3 linked regions of the Oryctolagus cuniculus genome follow. The protein of the gene in region 1 purifies or fractionates together with the protein of each later gene. This does not show direct contact. Links are inferred from orthologs where the notes say so. Each region holds a gene or a part of one and is shown in the gene's direction. Other genes may lie near its edges. The genes, in order: PRKAR2A, AKAP8 and PRKACB.

Region 1 (5,726 bases):
CAAAAAAAAAAAAAAAAAAAAAAGACTATCCCCTTGAGGTTTCTAAATTTTGTTGAAGGATTGAAATAAGAATTATGATATTATCTGCTATTATTACCTATTCTCAATGTATATAGGAAAATATTTAAGATAATTATACTGTAAAGGGGAGAATAAGGCGGCCTAAATGGAAATAAAGCTTTTACAATTAAATTAGTAAGTGTTGACACCAGTACAGTGAGTTACACGCGTGTAATCTAATACCTAGAACAACCACTAAAACATCTATACAAAGAGATGTACTTAGAAGCTCTGTAATTCAAGTAGAACTATAAAAATTATTCAGATAACTTACAGGAAGGCAGTAAAAGTGAAACAAAGATTTAAAAAACCAGGGGAATTGAGCAGGCATTTTTTCTTGAAGTTTAGGTGCCACTTAAGACTCCCACAATTCGTGTTCAGTCCCTGGGTTTAATATTTAGCTGTGACTCTAGCTTCCTGCTTGTGCGGATTTTGGCCTCGAGTAGAAGACCTGGATTGAATTCCCAACTCATGCCTTCAGTTCAGCCCCTTGTAGCCATTGTGGTGATTTGGAGACTGGACTGTTGAAAAGAGGAGAGATTATATTAATATCAGATAGAATAGGCATCAGAGTAAAGAAAATCACAGGGCCAAAATAAATATATAATAATGAAAGGGCCAGGGGCCAGTGCCGTGGCATGGCAGGTTAAACCCCAGCCTGCAGCGCCAGCATCCCATTTGGGCACAGGTTCCAGTCCTGGATGCTCTACTTCTGATCCAGGTCTCTGCTATGGCTGGGAAAGCAATGGAAGATGGCCCAAGTCCTTGGGCTTCCGCATGGGAGACCTGGAAGAAGCTGCTGGCTCTTGGCTTCAGTTCAGCTCAGCTCTGGCCGTTGAGGTCATCTGGGAAATGAACCAGCGGATGGAAGACCTCTCTCTTTCTCTCTCTCTCTCTCTCTCTCTGTAACTATGTCTTTCAAATAAATAAAAATTAAAAAAAAAAAAAAGAAGAAGAAAGGACTATTCTACCAAGAAGATACAGCAATTGTAAATACACATACACACCAAATAATAGTTCCAAAATATGTAAAGCAAAAACTGATAACATAGAAAAGAAAAGCAGACATCCACAGTTACAGAGGATGGAGATTTCAACACCCAGCTGTCAACAGTTGTTGAAACTACCAGACGGAAAACTAGCAATGATACAGAACTTAACAACATGAACTAGCAAATCCCCATGGCGTGGTGCTCCTCACTAGCCCTCTCTGAAAATTCTCCTATGACTTCTGCCCTAGTTTTCTTCTTCCTATGCTTATCCTTTGAAGTTTTTTCTTCCTTTCCCTGCTGTCTTTTTTTTTTTTTTTTTTTTTTTTTTTTTTTTTGACAGGTAGAGTTATAGACAGAGAGACAGAGAGAAAGGTCTTCCTTCCATTGGTTCACTTCCCAAATGGCCCCCATGGCCGGCACTGCACCGATCTGAAGCCAGGAGCCAGGAGCTTCTTCCTGGTCTCCCATGTGGTTGCAGGAGCCCAAGCACTTGAGCCATCCTCCACTGCCCTCCCAGGCCACAGCAGAGAGCTGGACTGGAAGAGGAGCAACCAGGACTAGAACCTGGCATCCATATGGGATGCTGGCGCTGCAAGGCAGAGGATTAACCAAGTGAGCCACGGCACCGGCCCCTCCCTGCTGTCTTAATTAAGGCCAATAACCCATCAGGATGCTCTTCTGCTTTTTGTTCTGCTTCATTCACTTGCTTCACAATGTCAGACTCTCCCAAAGCTTGAGTACCACTTCTAGAAAAGTTGCTCCCAGAGGATCCTCTCCAGCCGGACTTCTTCACTCATGCCTGGGAAGACCTTGGAAATGCCTAATGAAGCTAAGGCCAGGTGGACTGGGTATTGTCACTGAGTTTCTCCACTTGGATCCTGTATTCCTTCTTTGACAGGGAATAGCTGCCACTGTGGGCACTAGTCAGTTTCTGCTCCTGCTCGAGTGGAGGTCAGTAGAAGCTTCCCTAAGGAACGCTTGTAGTTACAAGAGGGGGTGGCACTCCTTTTCTTTTCAAACTTTCAGGTGGTTTGCTTGCCTCTGAGCACCTGCTGTCTCTGAAAGTTCACCTGCAGTGCCCCACTGGGAGCTCTCCAAAGGCTGAGTTGGTGTCTGGTGCTGTTTTGTTGTTATTGTTGTTGTTGTTTTTAACCTTCCATAGCTACAAGAATTGGCCTTGCATGATATGAATAGAGAGTTCTGGGAAGTGTGTGAAAACATGCATAGGAGGGATTGGAAAATGAATGGATAAATCTGCAGGATACTCTGGGATTGGCTATGTGGTACAGTGACTTAAGCTGCCTCTTCAGACACTGACATTCCATGTTGGATTGTGCTTGTTGGAGTCCCAGCTACTTTGCTTCTGATTCAGATTCCTGCTACCTGGAAAGGTAGCGAATGATGGCCCAAGTACTTGGGTTCCTGCCACCCACATGGGAAACTTGCATGGAGTTCCAGATCCTGAGTCAAGCCCCAGCCTTAGAAAGCATTTGGTAACTGCACCAGCAGACAGAAGATCTTTTCCCTCCTCTCTCTACTTCTTTATCACTCTGCTTTTCAAATAATTTTTAAGAGATATCTGTTGTTTTTCTCCTTAGATAGAAATGCAACTTGCTATTGAAATTATTATAATATTTGTAACATTATAAATGGATTTATAAATATTATTTTTTGACATGCCTATTCAAGCATAAGGAAAGGGGCTTTATAATTCTCATTTTCTGTCTTAATTGTTCTCTTTCCATAACATTCCTGGCCTAGATTGGCCAATATTCCAAAGTATAAAAGTAACATTTTAAATAATACATCTTTATCCTCGACTTCAGAAAATCCATGGTAGATGATGCAGCCACAACAGAGCGACTAGAGATTGAATGGCTCGTTCCAAGTATATTGGGGGAAAATGGGACAGAATCTGCCTAAGTACCAGAAAGCAGACCTTATTTGTACAGCCGTGTAAGTAGGGAGAGTAGGATTCTACCACTGCCCACACTAGGAGTGTAGGTGACTTCTCTGTTTATGTGGGTGAAACGTGGCACAGGATAGGACCTGGGAATTCTACAGCTGATAGAAAATGAGCCAGTGAAGTCCATTCAGATGTTGCGCCCAGTTGTCTGTTATGTGCTGTCTTTACCCCACAACCGCTCCAGCATCAGGAACCTACAGTGAAATAGGCCCTTACTCCCTTGCTGCTGCTTTACTTTTCCAGCCTTTAGGGTATTTTTATAGTTTCCAAAAGAAAACTTTCCATTCTTGACAGCCTGTGTAGGAAAAAGGAATAGCTAACTTGGGTCCAAATGACTGTTCACCCATTTAGAAGCCTGAGACTAAGCAGTTAACATTTTCCTGTCCATGTGTCTCTCCCCACCTATGTTCACACGTGTCTGAAAAGTGCCTGGCTCTAGGTAGCTCTGATTTACTGTCTCCTAATCAGAATCCATGACTTTACTGGGGTCAAGGTACCTTTTATATGTCTGCCTTCCATTTTGAGTATCCTCCCCTATCTTTTCATTAATTTAAAACTACTCATCCTTCAGATCCCAAATTTATATTTTTGCTACAAAACTGTCTTCAATCATTCCTGCTTACTGTGATCTCCCTCCCATCTCAAATTCTTGTGATGCTTGCCTTCTGTAGCTTCACCTAGTGTATTTCATATGCTGCCTTGAACTGTAGACTCTTTATTCCTGTGTGTTTTGTGTTGTCTCATGATTAAGATGGTGAAGTCCTTGTACTCAAGAACCATCTAGTTTTTTATTCCTTCCTTTTTTTGGAAGGCTGTCTTTTTTTTTTTTTTTTTTTTTTTGACAGGCAGAGTGGACAGTGAGAGAGAGAGACAGAGAGAAAGGTCTTCCTTTTGCCGTTGGTTCACCCTCCAATGGCCGCCGCGGCCGGTGCGCTGCGGCCGGCGTACCGCGCTGATCCGATGGCAGGAGCCAGGAGCCAGGTGCTTATCCTGGTCTCCCATGGGGTGCAGGGCCCAAGCACCTGGGCCATCCTCCACTGCACTCCCTGGCCACAGCAGAGAGCTGGCCTGGAAGACGGGCAACCGGGACAGAATCCGGCGCCCCAACCGGGACTAGAACCTGGTGTGCCGGCGCCGCTAGGCAGAGGATTAGCCTAGTGAGCCGCGGCGCCGGCCGGCTGTCTTTTGATTTTAAACAATGACTGTGAGCTCCCCAATGTTTGATTGGGAATTCTTTGTTTTGTGGTCTGTTTGTGACCCACAGGTGGCACCCATTGAACACTAGATAGCAAGCAGCAGTGTGTCGGGCATTTGTCTGGCTTAGGCTACAAGTCTTTTTCTTCCATTGACTACTCTGGAATTGAAGTATCATTAAACACTCAGTTGACACAATAACTTACATAATCTAACAATTGACGTGTCCCAGTTAACTAAACCGTGGACATTGTCTTACACAGGCATTTACTAGATTTTTCATTTTCTTTCTTATAGGACCGGGTGACTTTTAGAAGAATCATAGTGAAAAACAATGCAAAAAAAAGGAAGATGTTTGAATCGTTTATTGAGTCTGTGCCCCTCCTTAAATCACTAGAGGTAAAATCTATTTGAGTAAGAGTCTTTTTATGGTGGGGAGAGAGAAGCTATCTGTTACTAAGTTTTCAAATCATATTATTCTAGCCCATTTCTGTGTTGTATAAGTAGTGTAACTTTCAGTTAAGGTCTTTTCCTTATGATTTGTGTGTCTGTTGTTTCAGGTATCGGAACGAATGAAGATTGTGGATGTCATCGGAGAGAAGGTCTATAAGGATGGAGAACGCATAATCACTCAGGTAAGCAGAGGCCCTGCCCAGCTCCTTTCCTGAAGTCACCACTTGAAAACAAGCACATCACTTTTGTCTCTTAAGATGTCTGTGAGTTCCCAACAGTGGGAGCTCACGTTGGAGGAACTAGGTCGTAGCTCCTGCAGAGTGCTTTGAAGCCTGCTGATGGTCCATCTGATTGACTGATGTAGATCTCTTGCTTCCATTCACTTTTTTTTTTTTTTAGCTTCTTATGTTCTTTTTTTTTTTTTTTTTTTTTTTTTTTTTTTAAGAGAGAGAGACTTTTTTTTTGGTTACTATTATTTTATTTGAAAGGCAGAGTTAGAGAGAGACAGAGAGGTCCTGCAATGCTGGTTCACTCCCCAGATGGCCACAATGACCAGGGCTGGGCCAAGCAGAAGCCAGAAGCCCAGAGCTGCTTCTAAGTCTCTCACATAGGTACAGAGGCCCAAGCACTGGGCCATCTTCAGTTGCTTGCCCAAGCGCATTAGCAGGGAACTGGACTGAAAGTGGAGCAGCCTATAATCCTCCGCCTGTGGCGCTGGCACACCAGGTTCTAGTCCCGGTCGGGGCACCAGATTCTGTCCCGGTTGCTCCTCTTCCAGGCCAGCTCTCTGCTGTGGCCAGGGAGTGCAGTGGAGGATGGCCCAGGTCCTTGGGCCCTGCACCCGCATGGGAGACCAGGAGAAGCACCTGGCTCCTGGCTTCGGATCAGCATGGTGCGCCGGCCGCAGCACACTGCCAGAGCGGCCATTGGGGGGTGAACCAACGGCAAAGGAAGACCTTTCTCTCTGTCTCTCTCTCTCTCTCACTGTCCACTCTGCCTATCAAAAAAAAAAAAAAAAAAAAGTAAAGTGGAGCAGCATAGACTTGAACCAGTGCCCATAT
Region 2 (6,205 bases), on another chromosome or scaffold:
ATGATGCCCTCTTAGCAGCGTGCAGAAGGGTTGTCCATCTTCTCCCCACGTAGCAGAAGACACACGCACCTAGAAAAAGGGAGTAGGGGGTGCAGCAGCCTGATTTATGGCTTTCTGAGACATCCATAGAGCTGGCTAGTGCTCTGTAGGGGTCCCGGAGGCAGGTGTGTGCTCTAGCTCCCTCGTTCCCATTCTGCCCCTGGCTTTCTGGTGATGACAGTGAGATGTGCCTGGACTCCCAACCACAGAGGAAATGACACGGGTCAGTGTGCATCCTTCCAGAGCCACTGGGGGCAAGTCACAACCACTGCCCTGTCACTCACCTTTCTTATGCCAGTGGACACATGAGCCCGATTTTAGGGGCTTGCGCAGTGTGCTTTTGAGTGTCTGATGTAATCATTTCCTCCACCAAAGAACATTCCAGTGCTTTCCAGTTTTTCATCACCATATAACTATTGTGCATGCATTTCCCGAATTTCTTTTTTCTTTCGACCTATTCATTTGAAAAGAGTGACACAGAGGGGGTGAGAGAGTGCTTCCATCTGCTGGTTTATTCCCCAAAAATGGCCATAAGAGCTGGGGCTGGGCCAGGCCAAAGCCAGGAGCCTGGAACTCCCATCTGGGCCTCTACGTAAATGGCAGTGACCCAAGGACTTGGGCCATGTCCTGCTGCTTTCCCCAGGCGCATTAGCCAGGAGCTGGATCAGAAGTGGAGCAGCGGGGACTTGAACCAGCACTCATTCGGGATGCCAGCATTGTAGGCAGTGACTCCATGTTTTCAGTTCTGTTTAAAGAGTTATTCATCTATTTATTTTGTTTATGTAAAAGGCAGAGTTACAGAGTGAGGAGAGACAGATGTTCCATCTGCTGGTTCACTCCCAGTTGGCCAGAACAGTCAGGGCTGGGCCAGGCTGAAGCCAGGAGCCAGGAGCTTCTTCTGGATCTCCCACATGGGTGCAGTGGCCCCAGCACTTGGGGGCCATCTCTGCTGCTTTCCCAGGCTGTAGCAGAGAGCTGGGTCAGAAGTGGAGTAGCTGGGTCTCGAACTGGTGCCCATATGGGATGCTGGCATCACAGGCGAAGGTTTAACCTGCTACACCACAGCGCCGGCCCATGTTTTCAGTTCTTAAACTTAGGATAAGTTCTGGAAAGGGGTTGAAACAAATTTTTACTTTAAAAAAAAAAAAAAACTTATGTGAAAGGCCGTGTGACAGAGACAGGGAGAGACAGAAAAGAGGGACCTTGTATCCACTGGTTCACTCCTCAGGGACCTGCAGCAGCCAGGGCTGGGCCAGGCCAAAACCAAGAGCCCAGAGAGCCACCTGGGCCTCCTGGTGGGTGGTGGGCCGTGGTCTGCCTCCCAGGTGCGTTAGCTGACCCCAGGCTCTGCAGCGCGGGATGAGTGGCCTCACGCACTGCACCGCGCTGCGGCTCGCGCCGCATTTAGCTCTTCAAGACTGGAACCCTGTGGGTTATGGTCGCTGGAGCTCACTGGCCTTGGACATGGGTGTTCCTGGCTTTCTGCTCTGTCGATGCTGAAGGCCTCTGCGCGGATCGGGACCTGTGGCTCCTCGTTGTGTGGGTTGTGCACGTGTGGGTTAGAAAGCTTCTGTGTGATTCCTGCAAGTCAGGGCCGAGCTCTGTAGGTGACCCTTGATCCCAGTAAGTATGACGGCCAGGCAGAGTGGGGCAGCGCAGAGCGGGCGGGCAGGCGCCCGGACAGCGTCTCCAGCCCTGCCCGCCCTGCCCGCAGCTCATGATGGAGCAGTCCAAGAAGTCCTCGCTCATGGTGGCCCGCAGCATCCTCAACAACAAGCTCATCAGCAAGAAGCTGGAGCGCTACCTGAAGGTAAGGCGCCGCCCGGCCCCGCCCCGCCCCGCCCCGGCCCCGGGCCCCGCCTCACTGCCCGCGCTCCCTGCAGGGTGAGAACCCCTTCACCGACAGTCCCGAGGAGGACCGAGAGCAGGACGAGGCCGAAGGGACGCCGGGCGACGCGGAGGCCGCGCCGGCGCAGCCCCCGGTGCCCCCGGAGCCGAACCCTGGCGCCGCGTCGCCGCCGCCGCCGCCGCCTCCCCCGGAGGAGGAGGAGGAAGGCGAGCCCCTCCTCGGCGGGGCCCTGCAGCGCCAGATCCGCGGCATCCCGGGGCTCGACGTGGAAGACGACGAGGAGGGAGGCGGGGGCGCCCCGTGACGCGGGCCCAGGGCGGGCAGGGCCTGCGTGGCCAAGGCTGGAAGTCAAGTCGAATAAAGTTCTTCCCACCCAAGTCCTAGTCGGCCTGTCAGTGTGCGGGCGGGCGGCGGGCGGCGGGCGGCGGGCGGCGGGCGGCGGGCGGCGGGCGGCGGGCGGCGGGCGGCGGGCGGCGGGCGGCGGGCGGCGGGCGGCGGCGGGGGGGCGCAAACCACTCTCTGGGCGCCGGAGTAGGCTGCGCCTGCGCACGGGGGAGGTGCGAGTTGCGCCTGCGCGCCGGCGGCGGGCGGGGCGTGAAGTGCGCCTGCGTGTGGCCTGGGCCCCGAGACGCCGGAGTCCAACCACAATTCCCGAGAGGCTGCAGGCGCCAATCGCAAGCAACCCGGAAGGTTAGCTGGAACGGCCGTGGGCGTGTCTTCCGGAAGACCAGCCATTGGCAGCGCGCGAAGGGAGTGACGTGATACGTGACTTCCAGTAGCGGAAGGCGGGAGGTGCGTTGAACGCATGCGTCCTGTGGCAGCCTAGATAAAAGGGGCTGCTGGCGGGCCGCGTCGAAGACATGGAGCAAGGCTACGGAGGTCAGTACGAACTGCTCGGCGCGAGTCGGGGAGGGCAGGTGCCATCCGGGCGACGCAGCTGCCGCTGCGCAGAAGACCACGGGCCTGGCCTACGGGGCGAGCGCAGTTGCCCCAACGCAGCCCTGCCAGGAGGCGGCCGGGGCGCGCGCGCTGCTCATTGGGCCTTGGCGCCGTCTCTCCCGGGGCGCTGCGTGCCGATTGGCCAGCAAGCCCGAGGGGCGGGCGGCGCTTCGGGGGGCGCCGTGGGTCGTCCGGGCCGTTTTTTCCTCGCGGCGCAGCGGGAGCTCAGCCGGGCTTCGGCGACTCTAGTGCTCGCCGTCCCGCCGCCTCCTCCTCCTCTTCCTCCTCCCCTCCCCTTTACAGACGCCACAAAATGGCGGCTCCGGGGGCGGGGCCACGACGTGGGGTCCGGCCCGGGGGTGCTTGATCGACGGCTGGGGACCCGCCTTTCCCGGGCCCGCTGGGCTTGGTAGGGCCTTTGCTGAGCGTTGTGGCTGCGAGCACATCCGGTCTGCGCGGGGTCGGGTCTGTGGCCGGCCGGGCCCACCGCGGCCTCTGCAGGGGTTAGCCTCTCCGGGCGCAGCTGTGTGCTGGCCGAGGGGGGCGGAGGCGCCCCCGGACGAGACAGCCGGGGGACAGGCCGAGGAGTTTGGTGTGCGAAGCCGGGGTGCAGCAGCCCCTCATGGCGGCCTGGAGGGGCCTAGGGACCGTGTAGGAGCGGACGCGCCCCTTCCCGCTTGGCTTCAGCGCCTGCCTGCGGTGGAGCCGACCTCTTCGAGCTCCCCGCTCCTGTTCTCGGGAATCAGAACCTTCCGGGAGGCCTTTGCTCTGTTCCTGGGGCCGGGTTCACCCGCCAGAAACCCGTTGGAACTTGCACGGTAGGGCTGGGCCGGGGAGAGAAGCTGGGGGCGGGGGATGTGGGGACGGGTCTGACCTGGGCTGCGGCAGCTAAGGCAGGCGCGGGTCTCTAGAGGTGACAGAGTGGGGGGGTCCCTGCAGCAGGGATTGCAGAGGGTGGGGGTCTCTGAGCTGCAACCTTGTGTGCGTGTGCGTGCGCGCTTGGGTAACCATAGCGCCCTAGGGGAGGGCTCGGCCCGCTCCCTGAAGCCTGGCCTGGTCTCTCTGCCTTGTCTTCCTTCGCGCCAGACAGCTCCTGCCAGTAACGCCGTCCTCCCTTCGTGTAGGCTGGAGAGGTTTTTCTCTCCTGCGCGTCCTAGCTGCGGAGACTTTTTTGAGTCCCCCCCGGGTGGTGTTTTGAGGGATCAGGGCCCCGGAGGTCGGTCGGCTGCTGTTAGGGTCTGAGCACGGTGGGTCAGGAGAGGGCTCCGTCCGCAGTGGAGCGAGTCCCCGAGCTCCTGCCGCACAGTAGGGCATCCTGTGGGCGGCGGGACGTCTTGGAGGCGAGCGTGTCTGCTCATCAGAGTTGAAGTGCGGTGGTGGGCACGGGCTTGGGGGACGCAGGTGAGAAGCCAGCTCCCTGCCCCGGAGGCGGGGCCTGGAGGGTGACATTTCCCTGCTCTGAGTGGCCCTGGGGTCCTTCGGGGGAGCTGAGCCCTGCTCTTAGCTTGCTGGGTGTTGCAGACAGCTGTAGGCTCCTGCTCATCCTTGACTCGGGTTTGAGGCTTGGAGGGGCCTTGGAGCAGCTCTGACCTCTTCTCCCCTCCTCCCTCCTCTCCCTTCCCCTTCCACCCTCCCTTCTCCTGCCTTGAGGCCTGTCAGCCGGCTGTGGGACGGATCCTTAGGGGATGATGCTGGCAGCCATGGCTGTCTTCTCTGGAGGCCAGCACCTCCAGGTCCGGGTGTCCCGTGCGTGCGTGACGGCTGACGCGTTAACCCGCAGCATCTTTTGTTCACAGGCTACGGGGCGTGGAGTTCAGGGCCTGCCAGCAACCAGGGTGAGTGGGTCGAGGGGGAGATGGTCCCCCGGGGGTCTACAGAGCGCTCTGTGGCTGCTCAGGCAAAGGAGCTGACTAGACTGCAAGCCACCTGCTTTTCTTGTTTTGAACGGGCAGTGAAATTTGAATGTCATGGTTTTGGCGTGTCACGAGATGCCGTTTGTCACAGCAGGCTCTCTCTCAGGGCTGTGTGTGGTGGGAGTGTTCCCTGTCCTCTAATGGATCCTGTGTGCTGCCTAGTGCAGCTTTGGGTTTAGGGTTGAGCGGATGATACTCGAGTTCCCTGCTTCCGCCTCCCCCCACCCCCCAGTGGTGCGGGACATTTCCCCTGCGTGTGTGCGGGCTGACCCTGCCGAGGGGCCGCGGCGAGGTGCTCAGTGTGTCCGGAGGACGGGGAGTGCTCTGTCTGCTGCCGGCCCCTGATGCCTTCTGAGCCTGGGACCTGTCCCAGCACCCGCTGGGGACACATCGCGTTCCCTCGTTCAGTTGAGTTGAGGACGTGATTTTTTTCCATCAGAGGCTCCCCGGGGCGGACTGGCAGTGCCCGAGAGCTGGCCCTTTATCAGGCTCCGCTTGGCAGCCTGGCTGGCCTCCTGGCTGGTGGCCCACAGGAGACGGACAAGCTTCCTGGGGGTTGTGTGCACCAAAGCACCCTTTTCCCGGCCCGCTAATCAGGAGAGAAGCGCAGGTTCCGCTCAGCCTGGTTCTGTGGGTCTTGGGTGCAGTGCAGTCTTGTCTCCCTGGAGCTGGGTTGCTGGTGCCTTCAGCCTCCAAACGAGGCTCTCATGTGTCTTTCTGTTTCTCCTAAGGTGCATATGGAAGTGGGGCGACCAGCTGGGGGTCTGCAGGTGGGTGAGGGGCTGAGATGCACACCCCTCCTCCTTTCCCTGTCCCCCATCACCCGGGTGTCCCCCAGCCAGTGGGGATGTCTGGTGTGCTCCCCCTCCCCCCGCGAGCATGGTGCTGGAGCAGGGTCATGGGTGGGTTCCAGGAGCAGCAGGCTCTTGACAGCCCAGACTCCCATTTGTGGGGGACTCTGCCAACTAGGGCTTGATGGGGAGCCACTTCCCGCTCTGGCCACCTCTTGCTGACTCCTTGACAGCTGTGTGCCCACACCACGCCAGCAGTGCCTGGTCTCTGCCAGTCCTTTGCCTTCTAGGTGGGCGGTGGGTTCTCCTTCACTGCCAGGGCCTCGGGCCTGCCCAGGTCTGACCTGGGGCCTCTACCCTCTGACAGGTTACGACAACTACAGTTATTACGGGGCCCAGGGCGCCGGCGTCACCTCGGGATCATCCTACAACTACGGCCCAGGCTCGTCCTGGGAGGCCTCCAAGGGCCACGATGGGGGCCCTGCCATGCACATGTCCTCCTCTTTCGGGCCAGAGCCGTGCGACAGTTCTGACTCCCTCATTGCCAAGATCAACCAGCGTCTGAACATGATGTCCAAGGAAGGAGGCAGGGGCGGGAACAGCGGCGGGGAGGGCATGCAGGACCGGGAGAGGTGATTATGGCCCTGAGCCCTTCCCTGGGTGGGGGGGTTCCC
Region 3 (5,726 bases), on another chromosome or scaffold:
CTTACCACTGGAAAAAACTATGAACTAATATACCTACTGGAAAAATAAGCCCCTCTTCTAGTTATTACTCTGACTAGGATAAATAAGGAAATGTAGGCCGGTGCTGTGGCTCACTAGGCTAATCCTCCACCTGCGGCGCTGGCACACCAGGTTCTAGTCCCGGTCGGGGCGCTGAAGTCTGTCTCAGTTGCCCCTCTTCCAGTCCAGCTCTCTGCTGTGGCCCGGGAGTGCAGTGGAGGATGGCCCAAGTGCTTGGGCCCTGAACCTGCATGGGAGACCAGGAGAAGCACCTGGCTCCTGCCTTCGGATCAGCGCAGTACGCCAGCTGCAGCGCTCCGGCCACGGTGGCCATTGGAGGGTGAACCAACGGCAAAGGAAGACCTTTCTCTCTGTCTCTCTCACTGTCCACTCTGCCTGTCAAAAAAATAAATAAATAAGGAAATGTACAGCAAAATATTTTTATGATGAAAATGTCAACCTTTAAGATGTTTCCTGGAAATAGCTCTTTTCAGGTTATTGCATAATGGAAGCAGTATAGAAAAAATTAAAAGTACAGGTGCAGGGATTTAGCCTAGTGGTTAATTTGCTGAATTAGAAGCCCATCTCCCATATCAGAGTATCTGAGTTAGATACCCCACTCCTACAAATTCCTGCTAAAGCAGGCCATGGGAGACATAAGTGATAGCTCAAGTAATTGGGTTCCTGCCACCTACGTGGGATACCTGATTTGAGGTTCTGACTCCCAGCTTCAGTTAAACCTAGCCTTGGGTATTGCAGACATTTGGGTGGTGAACCAGCAGATGGGAACTCTCTCCCCTCCCCTCTCCCTAACTCTCTCCATTACTCTCACCTTTCCCTTCTCTACTCCCTCTCTCTCTCCTAATGTGAATTTTCCTCTGTTATGATGATGGTTTCAGTTTATTATTTCCATTTAAAATTTTATAGGTTGTATTAGTTTAAAAAAAAAAGAACAAAATCTCTACATAAAGTACTGAGGAGTTAGTATTGAATAGAGTTGAGAATAGTGTTTCTTCAGTTTGCATGTATATACGAATCATTTGAAGATAAAAGCTCAGATTTTAGACTCAATGTCCTCATTGTTTAAGGTAAGCCCCAGGAACTGCATTTTTACAATATTATCTCCCAGTTAATTCTCATAATTTTTATACTATTGCATAATAGCAGAGTTATACTTAAAAACCATCTATAATAAATGAAAAATAGTTCCCTGTGCTTTGAAAGAGTGTGGGTTTTTACAAACATTTTTAGACTTCTTTTTTGGTAGATCTCTTCAAAATGTACATGCTGATTTGTTTCATATGCTGCTTGCTCTATTTGTATAGAACAAGTTTCAGTTCTCACATCTCTGAGACAAGGGAGCTCTCTCTTGACAATGGGTGAACATACTGATATTGTTGGAAAAGTTCTAAATATGTGCACATTTTCCTGGAGACTGCTCCATGTTCTAAAAGGGAATTTATGACCAAAACAAGACACTAAGGGAACAGTTTTAGTTCATTCACACAAATAATTCTCTACTTTAAGACTACTGTAGGGTGTGTCAATTGTTAAATCAACAACAGGAGTCACTGTGCACTTGCTCCCCATGTAGGACCTCTGTCCTTAATGTGTTGTACTATGAGAATTAACAGTAAAACTAGTCTTCAAACAGTACTATATACTTTGTGTGTCTGTGTGGGTGCAAACTGTTGAAATCTTTACTTAGTATAGAGTTGATCTTCTGTATATATAGATAATTAAAAATGAATCTTAATGAAGAATGGGATGGGAGAGGGAGTAGGAGATGGGATTGTTTGGGGGTGGGAGGGAAGGTATGGGGAGAAGAACTGCTATAATCCAAAAGTTATACTTAGGAAATTTATATTTATTAAATAAAAGCTTTCTATAAAAAAGACTACTATAGGGACTGTGACTTTTACTTAAAAGCATTTGAAGTTGTCATTAAACAATTTTGTTAATATAATGCCCTGCTACCTTTAAAAAATGTGAAATCAAAATAGAAATATCATGAGTTTTGGAATTTGTGTTTTATCATTTGACGTGTTTGTGTAGGTCCGATTCCCATCCCACTTCAGTTCAGATCTCAAAGATCTTCTAAGGAACCTACTGCAAGTGGATTTGACGAAACGATTTGGAAATCTAAAGAATGGTGTGAGTGACATAAAAACTCACAAATGGTTTGCCACAACAGATTGGATTGCTATTTACCAGAGGAAGGTAAGACTTTTTAAAAGTTGGTGTTTAATTATATGTAGAAGTATTTTCAACTTCACATATTAGAGTGAGAAAATGTTAATATTCTAGCTGAGTATCAAAAGCACATTTTTTGTATCTTCGTAATTGATACTTTTATAAAAGATTGAAAAAACAAAGCAGTAAAAGAATTTTAAGTGCAACATACAGAAGAAATAACAAGACCTAAACAATGTAAATGCAGTACAACCTCTATTTCTCAAAAAAGTAGTTCACTCTCCAACCATTCAGGAAACATATCTGTTAACATTGTTATTACAAATGGATATGCTATGTAGTCAAGAACAGGGTCCATAGTAATTTAAAATAATCTTTAGTTGTCATAAAAAGAATTTCATATTTTTGTATTTTTTCTATAATTGTTAGCATCAATGCAATACTTTATAATGACTGAAAGCGACTGCCTTTAACTTTTCATATTAATCCTTAAAGTATTCTTTGAAATGGGTGGTACCATTTTCTTCATTTTACTAATCAGAAAATCAACTCAGAAAGGTTACTTAATGTAAAAATCTTATAACTACTGAATGATGCCTATCTTTGATCTTGCTTTCTTCAGATTCCTATTCCCAGAGCCACATTACCCATTTAAAGTCCTTTTAACATGATCAAATGATGCTCCAAACCACTGCACAATACATTGTTTCATAAAATTTTCATATCATCTGCTTGACTTCCACATATTGACCCTTGAGGGTAGGAAGACTCTTTCTCAAAAGGCTGTTAAAAAAGAGCATAAACTCTGAGGTTCAGTCCCAGATCAACCAAGCATTATTGTTATAATCTTAAACAAATAATTTAACTTCTGTAAAGCATCAATTTAATCACCTTTAAGATGGAAGAGTAGTTTGGGGAAGAAAGATCAGACAGATTAGCCAAGCTCCCTTTGAGTTCTGGTTGAGATATGCTTCATTATAGTTCAAATTAGATAATTTGTTTAATAACAGCAAAATCTTGATTAACAAAATAGACGCTAGGATCCCTGGGTGATTTACAAATAGAAATAATCCAGTACTTTAATTTGGCCATTTGTTTTAATATCTTCTCAACTATAAGAATGCACAGCAGTGCAAAAAATAAAAAGATAGTAAATTTGAATGGTTGTCATGGTTTTTATTTTGTGATCCAGTGTTCATGAATGTGAAATAGCCAAATGAATCTAGGAGAACGATGATAAAGAGAGAGAGAGAAAGAAAGAAAGAAATGGCCTAGATGACTCAAACTGTACAGTCACTCTCTAGAGATGATTGCCCAAAAGTAGAATCCTAAATTGTTGTCTGGCTAGACATGAGGCAACTGTCTGTTTAACTCATTCTTCTAGAACAAAACAGCAGTCCCCAAAGCAATGGGTGCAAGATAATCAGCTGAAAAATAAAGATACTTGAATTTCCATTCCAATTTATTTTCACTTTATTCTTTTAAAATGTCATATTTCTGTGTTTATCTTATATTATATGGTCAACCATGTGAATAATGTATAAATAAATAACTATACAAATATTGATAATGTGTGCTAGGAACTATTTTACTGAAAGAGATAGAAATCAAAAAGATTTGGAAACCACTGACATACGTAATAGAAAGAGCTCTGATCCAGAAGTAGAAAATTATGAGTTTGAGACTTGCTTTAGCCTCCTACTAGTCATGTGATTTTGGCCAACTCTGTTTTATGATTTTTACAAATAAGAATAAAATATACCTGCTCTGCCTTCTTCATAATGTGGTACTGAAGAAGAAATGAAAAAATTGTATGTGTAATTGTAAATTCAGTAAGGATTGTGAAAATTGTGTTATTATGTTTGTAGCTTTTAAATAGTTTCCTCAAATGTTTTCATTATACCACATAATCTTTGTGAAAGACCATACTCTGAATGGTGGAAAGACAGTTTACTTTCAGGATCTGAAAGGAGAAAAACATTTAAGATTTAGCAGTTCTATAATTCCAAAAGAGATACATTTCTTTCCAACTTATGACAGTTGCACATTTATGTAGACAGATAATTAAAATAAACTTGGAAATTAAAAAAGGAAGGCAATTAAAAGAAAGTCTAAGATTTATCTGTCAGCTTCAGAAGAAAGGAATATAAAAGTGAGGATAGAAAAATAAAGTCTTTGAACATAAATAATAAAGGAAAAAACTGGAATTCTGTAATCTTAGGAGCCTACATTTTGATGCCAACAATTAATTATCCTAGGAATGTCTCAATGTTGTTATATTCCTTGAATGAAAATGATGAGTTAAACAGCAAATCTACTGTTTGCTCCTTCTTCTGATGCCAATATATTTTAGGGATTTAACGGCATTCAAAGATGCCACCAGTTATTAAGAGTGGAAATTTATTTTCCTTAGTGTTTACAAACTCTCAGGAATTTAGTTTTCCTCTTATTTTCCTCTCTATCCCAATTATGTAGGTTGAAGCTCCATTCATACCAAAGTTCAGAGGCTCTGGAGATACCAGCAACTTTGATGACTATGAAGAAGAAGATATCCGTGTCTCTATAACAGAAAAATGTGCGAAAGAATTTTGTGAATTTTAGAGAGGGATAACAAGAGGCGATCAGAGCTCACACTCAATCTTTGCACTCTGGTGAGAGACAAGGTGGAGCTGAGACCCTCCTTGTTGAAGCAGTTACCTAGTTCCTTCATTCCAGCGACTGAGTGAGGTCTTTATTGCTGTCATCTGTGTGTGCACTCTGCATCCACCTATGTAAAAAGGCACCGCTAAGTAAGCATTTCCTGTGCCATAACACAGTACTAGACTACTTTTCTTGGTTTGTCTTTTTCTTCTCCTCCTTCTTTTTCATTAGTTTTCCTCCAAACAGCACTGCATTTTATCTTGCTGGTGTTTCAGGTGCACAGTGTTATGGCTACACAATCTCTGAAGGGCAGGACAACTGTTGCTTTTAGTAGTTCTTGCCAATGTTTTTGTTGGTAAATGGCCTGAAGATGAACTTTCTAGTAATTGTTTTTGTTTGATCAGCTCAAACTCAGTTTTGCCAAAACTCTAGACAATTCTTTAATTGAATAATGTCTTACCACCCAAGACATTCGCATAAATGAAGTTCATTTTAATTTCCTTGAAATTCACTATTCTGGCAATGCATTTAGATAGACTAATATTGAGTAGTTATACCCAACAATTTGGATTCCTATAAATCAGAGGTTCTATTTCCCTTTGCTTCCTTTTATATTATCTCCCCCACCTCTATCCCTTAAGTAATGAAATAACCAGCCCTGTGCATTGTGACAAATGTGTCTCCTTCAGCAGCAAATTCTAATGATATGGCTCATCACCCAAATTCTCTCACTTGGTACCAGCATTTCTGTAAGTATTACAGAAGGGCTTGAAGGCTTATAAACCTTACCTCTTCCTCAAGGGTTTTAGCTGCTGTTTTAATAGAACAAGATTAGTGAAAATGACAATATTTGAAGTTTCTCAAATAGTCCCTAT

Evidence for each region.
Region 2: the proteins of PRKAR2A (region 1) and AKAP8 purify together in Homo sapiens (affinity purification with western blotting; 3 studies listed by BioGRID and IntAct, with this or other methods). This does not show direct contact. The link is inferred for Oryctolagus cuniculus from reciprocal best matches to the Homo sapiens genes PRKAR2A and AKAP8.
Region 3: the proteins of PRKAR2A (region 1) and PRKACB purify together in Homo sapiens (affinity purification with mass spectrometry; 6 studies listed by BioGRID and IntAct, counting the BioPlex papers as one, with this or other methods). This does not show direct contact. The link is inferred for Oryctolagus cuniculus from reciprocal best matches to the Homo sapiens genes PRKAR2A and PRKACB.

The regions. Positions count from the first base shown.
Region 1 is NC_091441.1:100,344,023-100,349,748, forward strand, and holds part of PRKAR2A (cAMP-dependent protein kinase type II-alpha regulatory subunit), read left to right. Parts: intron 1-4,509; coding exon 4,510-4,611; intron 4,612-4,772; coding exon 4,773-4,847; intron 4,848-5,726. UniProt on the Homo sapiens protein: Regulatory subunit of the cAMP-dependent protein kinases involved in cAMP signaling in cells. Type II regulatory chains mediate membrane association by binding to anchoring proteins, including the MAP2 kinase.
Region 2 is NC_091447.1:61,519,078-61,525,282, forward strand, and holds the start of AKAP8 (A-kinase anchor protein 8), read left to right. Parts: upstream 1-2,506; 5' UTR 2,507-2,748; coding exon 2,749-2,767; intron 2,768-2,976; exon of another isoform or gene 2,977-3,645; intron 3,646-4,623; coding exon 4,624-4,662; intron 4,663-5,471; coding exon 5,472-5,510; intron 5,511-5,898; coding exon 5,899-6,163; intron 6,164-6,205. Other genes in the region: AKAP8L (A-kinase anchor protein 8-like), read left to right, coding at 1,754-1,849, 1,923-2,192. UniProt on the Homo sapiens protein: Anchoring protein that mediates the subcellular compartmentation of cAMP-dependent protein kinase (PKA type II).
Region 3 is NC_091438.1:87,044,839-87,050,564, reverse strand, and holds part of PRKACB (cAMP-dependent protein kinase catalytic subunit beta), read left to right. Parts: intron 1-2,073; coding exon 2,074-2,238; intron 2,239-4,686; coding exon 4,687-4,812; 3' UTR 4,813-5,726. UniProt on the Homo sapiens protein: Mediates cAMP-dependent signaling triggered by receptor binding to GPCRs.